Oryctolagus cuniculus: one gene and its partner. Each later gene encodes a partner of the first gene's protein in a complex. Links are inferred from orthologs where the notes say so. Each region holds a gene or a part of one and is shown in the gene's direction. Other genes may lie near its edges. The genes, in order: GLB1 and CTSA.

Region 1 (3,802 bases):
TCTCCCTCCTGTCTCTCCCAGTTCACTTGCTCTCCCTCCTGTCTCCTCCCAGTCACTTGCTCTGCCCTCCTGCGTTCCGTCTTCCTTTCTAGCAGCGGCCCTGAACCCAACACTGAAGGCCGGGGCTCAGGGTCAGGTGCTCCGGCAGCTCAAACCTCCCTTCTGTAGAAGCGGGAAATCGGGCCTTTTATGGCGACACCCTGACCTCTCAGAGTGTGGGAAGTTCGCCCCTTCCGGAGCAGGGACTCAGCCCTCAGCCAGATCCATGTCACTTCGATGTCCCTCGTCCCCTGCTGGGGCCTTTTCCCAGGAGTGCAGGACCAGGGTGCAGAGGCCCTCAGGCTGTCGCCAGCCCCCTCCTCACTGTGCTAATTCTACTTTGCAGGGCTTGATTTCCAACTTGACCCTGGGTTCCTACATCCTCACAAACTGGACCATCTTCCCCCTGGACACCGAGAGGGCAGTGAGCAGCCTCCAGGGGGACTGGGGTGGCTGCCAGAAGGACGCCAGGGCCTGCAGCCCCGGGAACTACACACTGCCAGCCTTCTACACTGGGAACTTCTCCATCCCCAGCGGGGTCCCGTCCCTGCCCCAGGACACCTTTATCACGTTCCCCGGGTGGACCAAGGTAGGTGTGGGAACTCCAGGAGGAGTGCTGATGACATGCTGAGTGACGGTGCGGCACCGAGGGTTTCTGTGGGCGTTCACTCGTCTCCCAGGCGCAGGGTCGTGGCAGGACCTTAAGGATTCGAGGGCCAACTTGGTGGTGTCACTATCTGGCCCATTTTCATTGACCGACCACTTCCGTTAGTGAGCGATGACTTTGCTGCTTCCTCTAAGAGTTGAGGCCTCTTGTGCCCTGAGTCGAGGGACGTTTCTTGGTCGTGAGGAGATTCTGGCCCTGGGTAAGGGCGACTCGTGGCGAGAGTCTGCTGCTTCTCCAGCCATGGCAAGCTCTGTACGTCCAGCTCAGCCCCGCCTGCACGACTCTTCTCACCTCCCCATCGCTCTCTCTCCTGCTCTGAAGACGTACGTGTCTTCATCAACTCCCTTTCAAGTCCCGTGTCCATTCTAGACGATCACTTGTTCAGGTTTTTATTCGGTGCCATGTGCTAAGGATACACTGATGAATGAAACCAGACACGGCCGCTGCCCTCATGGAACTTCCGGTCTAGTGGAACAGGTGGCCCTGTATCATACAGCCACACATTTTTTTTTTTTTTTAAACAGGCAGAGTTAGAGAGTGAGAAAGAGAGACAGAAAGAAAGGTCTTCCTTTCCATTGGTTCACCCCCCAAATGGCTGCCACGGCCAGCATGCTGCGCCGATCCAAAGCCAGGAGCCAGGTGCTTCCTCCTGGTCTCCCATGGGGTGCAGGGCCCAAGCACTTGGGCCACCCTCCACTGCACTCCCTGGCCATAGCAGAGAGCTGGCCTGGAAGAGGAGCAACTGGGACAGAATCCGGCGCCCCAGCCGGGACTAGAACCCGGGGTGCTGGTGCCGCAGGTGGAGGATTAGCCTAGTGAGCGCACACTGGCCCAGCCGCACAAATTAAACACAAAACCGCATCTGTGAAGGGTGCTGAGAGGGGAGGGCGTAGGGTTGATCATAACGGAGGGGTTTAGACTTGTCAGGAAGGCCAGGGAAGCCCCTAAGGGAGTGGTGTTTGAGACATGAGGGGTGAGCAGCATGGCACAGAGGGGCCCTGTAGTTGAAAGGGAAGTGGTAAATGCGGAGACTGCATCCAAGTGTTGTCATTATGCTGAGACACACGCAGTAGAGGAGTGACGTGGTGATGTGGTGTGGTGACGTGACGTGGTGATGTGGCGTGGTGACGTGACGTGGTGATGTGATGTGATGTGGCGTGGTGACGTAACGTGGTGATGTGGCATGGTGATATGACACGGTGATGTGGCGTGGTGATGTGGCGTGGTGATGTGATACAGTGATGTGACGTGATGTGGCATGGTGATGTGACTCGGTGACGTGACGTGATGTGGTGTGGTGATGTGACACGGTGATGTGACGTGGTGATGTGGCAAGCCCTCCGGCCCCAGTATGCAGAACGGGTTGGGTGAGGGCACTTGCAGATTCAGGTTGACCACCTAGGGAGCTGGTCCGTTGTCTGATTGGCCAAGATGGAGGTGACATCGGCTGCCTGGACCGTGTGTGACATTAGATGAGTTGCGATGGGGGAGGGTGTGTGATAGGGGGGGCCGGTTGGATGTGGCGGCTCGAGTAGAGGAACTCGTCTCACAGAGCCCTTGGGGTCCTGCGCTGGGCCCAGGGAGGGAAGCAGCCTCAGAAGGGGACTTGGGCTGGGAGGGGGGACCGGGACCGTGAGTTCAGGTGCAGACAAATGGAGTCCCGGGCTGTCTGGGTCATTTGGGCTGCTCCAGGAACACAGCAGAAAGTGCAGCTGAAGCGAGCAGCAGACCTGTGTCTGGTCCCTCCGCGGGACGCTGCCTCGTGCGCTGCAGGGCCTTGTCTAAGAGCGCTCACCGCACCCTGGGCGCTGCCCTGTGGCCTGATCGTCTCTCCTCCGGAGACCGTCACATGACCATGAACTTGGGGGAGCACAGCTGAGACAAGGTCCTGGCGGGAGGCTGCTGGAGCTGTGGGCTGGGGAGTCGGAGGAGGAGTCTGGACGGGGAGGGTGCGTGTGCAGTCCTCCATGTGTGGCTAGTGTGGGCGCCATGGGAGGAGGAGGCCCCGCAGGGAGCGAGCGGCAGGAAGAGGAATGAGGCTGACCGGCGAGGGACACAGTGACAGTGAGGCGGAGGGGACAGCGGGGGAAGCGCCGTTTGTGCCGCCAAGAGGGTAAACAAGACGGGCACGGTCTTCCTGCTGGACCGAGCAGCAAGGAGTCCCCGGGGTCGGTGGAGCGAAGCCTCTGCCAGCCCACGGCACTGTGCTGAGCAGGCGGGACGGGAGGGAGCCCGGAGCAGGCCAGCCCACGGCACTGTGCTGAGCAGGCGGGACAGGAGGGAGCCAGGAGCAGGCCAGCCCACGGCACTGTGCTGAGCGGGCGGGACGGGAGGGAGCCCGGAGCAGGCCAGCCCACGGCACTGTGCTGAGCGGGCGGGACAGGAGGGAGCCCGGAGCAGGCCAGCCCACGGCACTGTGCTGAGCGGGCGGGACAGGAGGGAGCCGGGAGCAGGGGCAGGGGCGCTGGAAGACTCTTCTTTCTCTCTGTAACCCGGGACCTTTTTTACCCTTAATGATTATGGGGTTTTTAAAAAAGATTGATTTGAAAGGCAGAATGGCAGAGAGAAAAGGAAAGAGAGAGAGAAAAGAGAGAGCGAGAGAGAATCTTCTATCCACTGATTCACAAATAGCTGCCGTGAGCCAGGCCAAAGGCAGGCATTGCCCTAGCGTCCTGACAGGCATTGCCCTAGCGTCCTGACAGGCATTGCCCTAGCGTCCTGACAGGCATTGCCCTAGCGTCCTGACAGAGATCTGGCTCTGAGGGACGGGAAGAAAATACGTTGACAGCTGGAAGGGGAGAGGGCAGATGACACAGGGGGTTAAACAAATGCTTTTATTTATTTATTTTTGCATTTTACTGATTTCATCTACCTGAAAGGCAGAGATCTTCCACTGCTGCCTCACTACCCAAGTGCCCACAACAGCCAGAGCGGGCCATGTGGTCATCCAGCTCTTCCGTATGGGTAGAGGACCCAAGTGCTTACGCCATCATCCACTGCCTTCCCACGTGCACTAGCTGGAGCTGGAAAAGAGCAGCCAGAACCCAGACTGGCACTCGGACATGGGATGCGGGCACCCATGCTGTGGCTTAACCT
Region 2 (3,902 bases), on another chromosome or scaffold:
TCTACGCGGCCTGCGCTGGAGGCTGCGGCCCGGAGCGGGCTCTACTTCCCTGAGTTCATGAAACACCATCAGGGATATAAACTCGATTTTGGGGGGCTCTAACGAGCCTCAGGCCAAAGAAGCCCCGAGTCGGGTGTGGGATGTTCCTCCAGCTGAGATGCCCGACCTCTGAGCGTTTTCCTAATGAGGAAGCACCCAACTCTCCAAGAGGCCCAAGATCTAAAACCATTTTGAAATCCCCGCACTAGGTTGACACAGAAGGCAGCGCCACAACAAAGCGGGAGCCCTAATCCATCTGCCCACGCGGGTGTGCTGTGGCCCAGAGCCAGGAGGGACTTTGTGCAGAATCACAAGGAGAGGGACAACCTGTGGCCAGTGCTGGACAGAGGGGCCTCGGCCTAGCCCGCTGGCCGGGAAGTCCCTGCGCCTGGCCAGGAGGGGTCGCTGCTGCCCAGGGCGGGTGGGATACCTACAGCCATACTCGAGCTGGACCAGGCGCACGCTCTTGGTGGAGGCAAACACGTCCACCACCGCGTAGAGGGGCTGGGCAGCGGGCAGCCCCCGGGCGCTGGGGCCCATGTCCTCGCCGTTGATGAGGATGTGCATGTCGGCGGTGCCGTCCCGGCGCGGGCAGAAGAGGACGCCCAGGCGGCTCCGGCGCGCGGTCGGAGGCAGCACGTTCAGCTCGTAGAGCTGGTCCAAGAGGTGGCTGTAGAGGCCCGGCCGGCTGCGGCCCACCAGGCGGTCCCGCGGGATGCGGAACTGCTCGACGCACAGATAGGGTTCCACCAGGAGCGCCGGGGGTCGGCTGGGGGCCAGTGCCTCGGCCGCCGGCTGGCCCTCCCGGGGCACGCGGTTGTGGTGGCGCGTGATGGCGAAGACCCAGGTGTGGCCGAGGCTGACCAGGTCCGGCAGCGAGAACTCGGGCACGACGGCCAGGCTGGCGGGGTCCAGCGCGGTCAGGCCGAGGCGCAAGTGCCCGCACCAGCCCAGCTCCTTCTCCTCGATCTCCACCAGGAACACCTGGCCCGGCGCCAGCGGCTCGCGACTGAAGCACACGCCGTGGGCGAAGCTCTCCACGCGCGTGGCCCGTGTTCCGGAGAGGTCCACGCGGATGTTAGCGCCGTGCACAGGGTGGAAGCGGGTGGGAGGGGGCTCCGGGCGTGCGGGTCCCCAGGATGCGGCCAACGGCACGGGCTCGGAGGCAGCAGCCATGTCCCGGCCATGAGGCAGGGGGACAGGCGCCAGGGGCTATTTTGGGCGGCGGGAGGACGTGGTGACCGCGGAGAAACCATGTAAGGCATTCCCCCTCAGCCCGAGGCTCTGCCCGGGGGTCCTAGCGCCGCTTGCCCAGCCATCCAGCTTGGAACTGAGCCCCGGGAGGCTGGAACACCTGACTGGTCCACACCCAGGTCATCTGATCGCAGGCGCCCGGGCTTCGACCTTAGGCACCGGAGGACCTTGACCCAACGTGGCCCGCCCCCGCCCCCGCCCCCCACCCCATCCCCAGGGACCAAAGCGGGGGCCTGAGAAAGGCTGTCACGTGAGGCCGGCGCCCACGTGACTCGGAGTACACATGACTGCCTGTCTCCCGGCGCCTCCTGGAGAGCAGAGACGCGAGGGAGCAGAGGTGAGGGGGCTCCGGAGCTGGAAGTGGTCCCCGAGCCCCTGGGTCGGGGGCGGCGGAGGCTCGGCGGGCGGAAGCTTCCCGGGCCCGGGCGCCGCCCTGTGCTCCCCAGGGGCGGCGGCGCGGAAGTGCAGAGCAGCCGGGGCGCGAGTCCGCGACCGGCGCCCGCGCCTTGCTCCCGCAGATGGCCCGCGCCGCGCTGTCGCCGCTGTTCCTGCTGCTCGTCGCGTCCTGTGCGCCCCGGAGCCAGGCAGCCCCGGACCAGGACGAGATCCAGTGCCTTCCGGGGCTGGCCAAGCAGCCGTCTTTCCGCCAGTACTCGGGCTACCTGCGAGCCTCCGACTCCAAGCACTTCCACTACTGGTCTGCCGCCCGGCGCCCAGGACGGGCTGGGGAGGGGGGGAGGCGGTGCGAAGCCCACCCGGGGGAGGGGGAGGGGAGGGACGGGGCTCTGGGGGCGCCTGGGAGCCCCTGCGCCGGGTCCAGTCCTGCCCTGCCCTCCACTCCGCCAGGTTTGTGGAGTCCCAGAAGGACCCCAAGAGCAGCCCTGTGGTGCTCTGGCTCAACGGGGGTCCCGGCTGCAGCTCTCTGGACGGGCTGCTGACCGAGCACGGCCCCTTCCTGGTGAGTAGGCGGCGCCGGGGAAGAGGGAGAGGAAGACTCCGGTCTCCTTGTCCTTGGGCCTCCCTGTTTGCCTCTGCTGACTCGGCCTCCCCGGACGAGGGGAGGGGTCCCACACTGAAAGGGACTTCTGGGACCTCCTCAGCCACCTCTCTCCCTTCTCAGATCCAGCCGGACGGTGTCACTCTGCAGTACAACCCCTATTCTTGGAATCTGGTATAGCCGGAGCCCGGGGCTTGGTGGGCAGCGGGCGGCACCCGGGCGCTGGGATGGGCTCGGGGACCCTGTCACCTCTTGCCTCCTCCCCTCTAGATTGCCAACGTGTTGTACATCGAGTCCCCGGCTGGGGTGGGCTTCTCCTACTCCAATGACAAGGTTTATGTAACCAATGACACTGAGGTGAGACTGGCAGCAGCTTTCTGGCCCAGCCCCGCGGGTGGTCCAAACTGTCATGGAGCAGGTGCAGAGAGCTGGGCCTTGGAGTCCCGGGCCTGGCTCGGCCCCGGGCTGTGTGGCGCAGTCAGGGCCCAGTCACTTCCTCTTGCACACACAGGGCGGGGGTTGTGGTCATGACCTCCGAGGTCTGTTACAGCCAAAGCCCTGCTGACTGCCTGCCTGCCTCCTGCCACCCCCAGGTTGCCCAGAACAATTACGAGGCCCTCAAAGATTTCTTCCGCCTCTTTCCGGAGTACAAGGACAACAAACTTTTCCTGACAGGAGAGAGCTATGCCGGCATCTACATCCCCACCCTGGCCGTGCTGGTCATGGAGGATCCCAGCATGAACTTGCAGGTGCGGGGCAGCGGCAGGAGGCAAGGGGAGCTGCGACCTTGGCATTGGCCGGATCACACGGGCTGGCGCCCCACCCAGCCCGGCCTCCGCCGTGCTCTGCCTGCCACCAGATTCCCTATCTCTGCATGGGGCGCTCAGCTGCCAGGCTGCCCACTCCCTTCCTGACGCTGCGTGGATTTTCCCACCCTTCCACCCCCACAATCCAGCTGGGGTTTCAACATCTGGATTGCAGCAGGGCTGGGTACGTGTCAGGCACAGCCCTGCCCACTGTGCAGATGAGCTGAGCACCCTGCCTGTTCCACAGGGGCTGGCTGTGGGCAATGGCCTCTCCTCCTACGAGCAGAATGACAACTCGCTGGTCTATTTTGCCTACTACCACGGCCTTCTGGGGAACCGGTATGGAAGGAGGGGGATTGGGCAATCTCTCGGGCGGGGTGGGTCAGGATTGCAGCCCTCGTGCCAAATGTGTGACAACCCCAGCCCTGCCCTGGTTTGTGGGTGGGGGGTGGGGTTGTGGGCAGGGCTGGATGCCACAAGGCTAGCCTGCAGGTCACTTCACAGGGGCGCAGGAGTGCTGGCCGGCCCCCGGGCAGCTTGCTTGGAGACCTGCCTGTCACGCCTGTGATGGTCTTCCTCAGTCCCCCAGATCAGACCTGATGGGGCTTGGCAGGGAGACGGTGGGTGGCCGCCGCCCCCTCCCCTGCCCACTGGGCCTGAGCGCTTCTCTCTGGTCTGCCACAGGCTCTGGTCTTCCCTGCAGACCCACTGCTGCTCCCAGAACAAGTGCAACTTCTACGACAACAAAGACCCAGAATGCGTGACCAGCGTGAGCCTCCCCCCCACCCCGCACCGGCCCTGCCCTG

The links.
Region 2: the proteins of GLB1 (region 1) and CTSA are in contact, whole or in part, in a cryo-EM structure (PDB 7KDV), measured with the Mus musculus proteins. The link is inferred for Oryctolagus cuniculus from reciprocal best matches to the Homo sapiens genes GLB1 and CTSA. Residues at the interface, in NP_033882.1 of Mus musculus: Tyr198, Asp199, Arg202, His206, Leu229, Thr233, Leu234, Gln235, Asp236, Leu237, Lys258, Phe259, Glu260; in NP_001033581.1 of Mus musculus: Glu29, Asp31, Ala37, Lys38, Gln39, Pro40, Ser41, Phe42, Arg43, Tyr107.

What each region holds. Positions count from the first base shown.
Region 1 is NC_091435.1:169,534,400-169,538,201, reverse strand, and holds part of GLB1 (beta-galactosidase), read left to right. Parts: intron 1-385; coding exon 386-628; intron 629-3,802.
Region 2 is NC_091442.1:13,517,001-13,520,902, reverse strand, and holds the start of CTSA (lysosomal protective protein), read left to right. Parts: upstream 1-1,423; 5' UTR 1,424-1,576; coding exon 1,577-1,630; intron 1,631-1,811; coding exon 1,812-1,990; intron 1,991-2,139; coding exon 2,140-2,251; intron 2,252-2,413; coding exon 2,414-2,464; intron 2,465-2,560; coding exon 2,561-2,647; intron 2,648-2,883; coding exon 2,884-3,039; intron 3,040-3,343; coding exon 3,344-3,435; intron 3,436-3,780; coding exon 3,781-3,865; intron 3,866-3,902. Other genes in the region: NEURL2 (neuralized-like protein 2), read right to left, coding at 474-1,215. UniProt on the Homo sapiens protein: Protective protein appears to be essential for both the activity of beta-galactosidase and neuraminidase, it associates with these enzymes and exerts a protective function necessary for their stability and activity.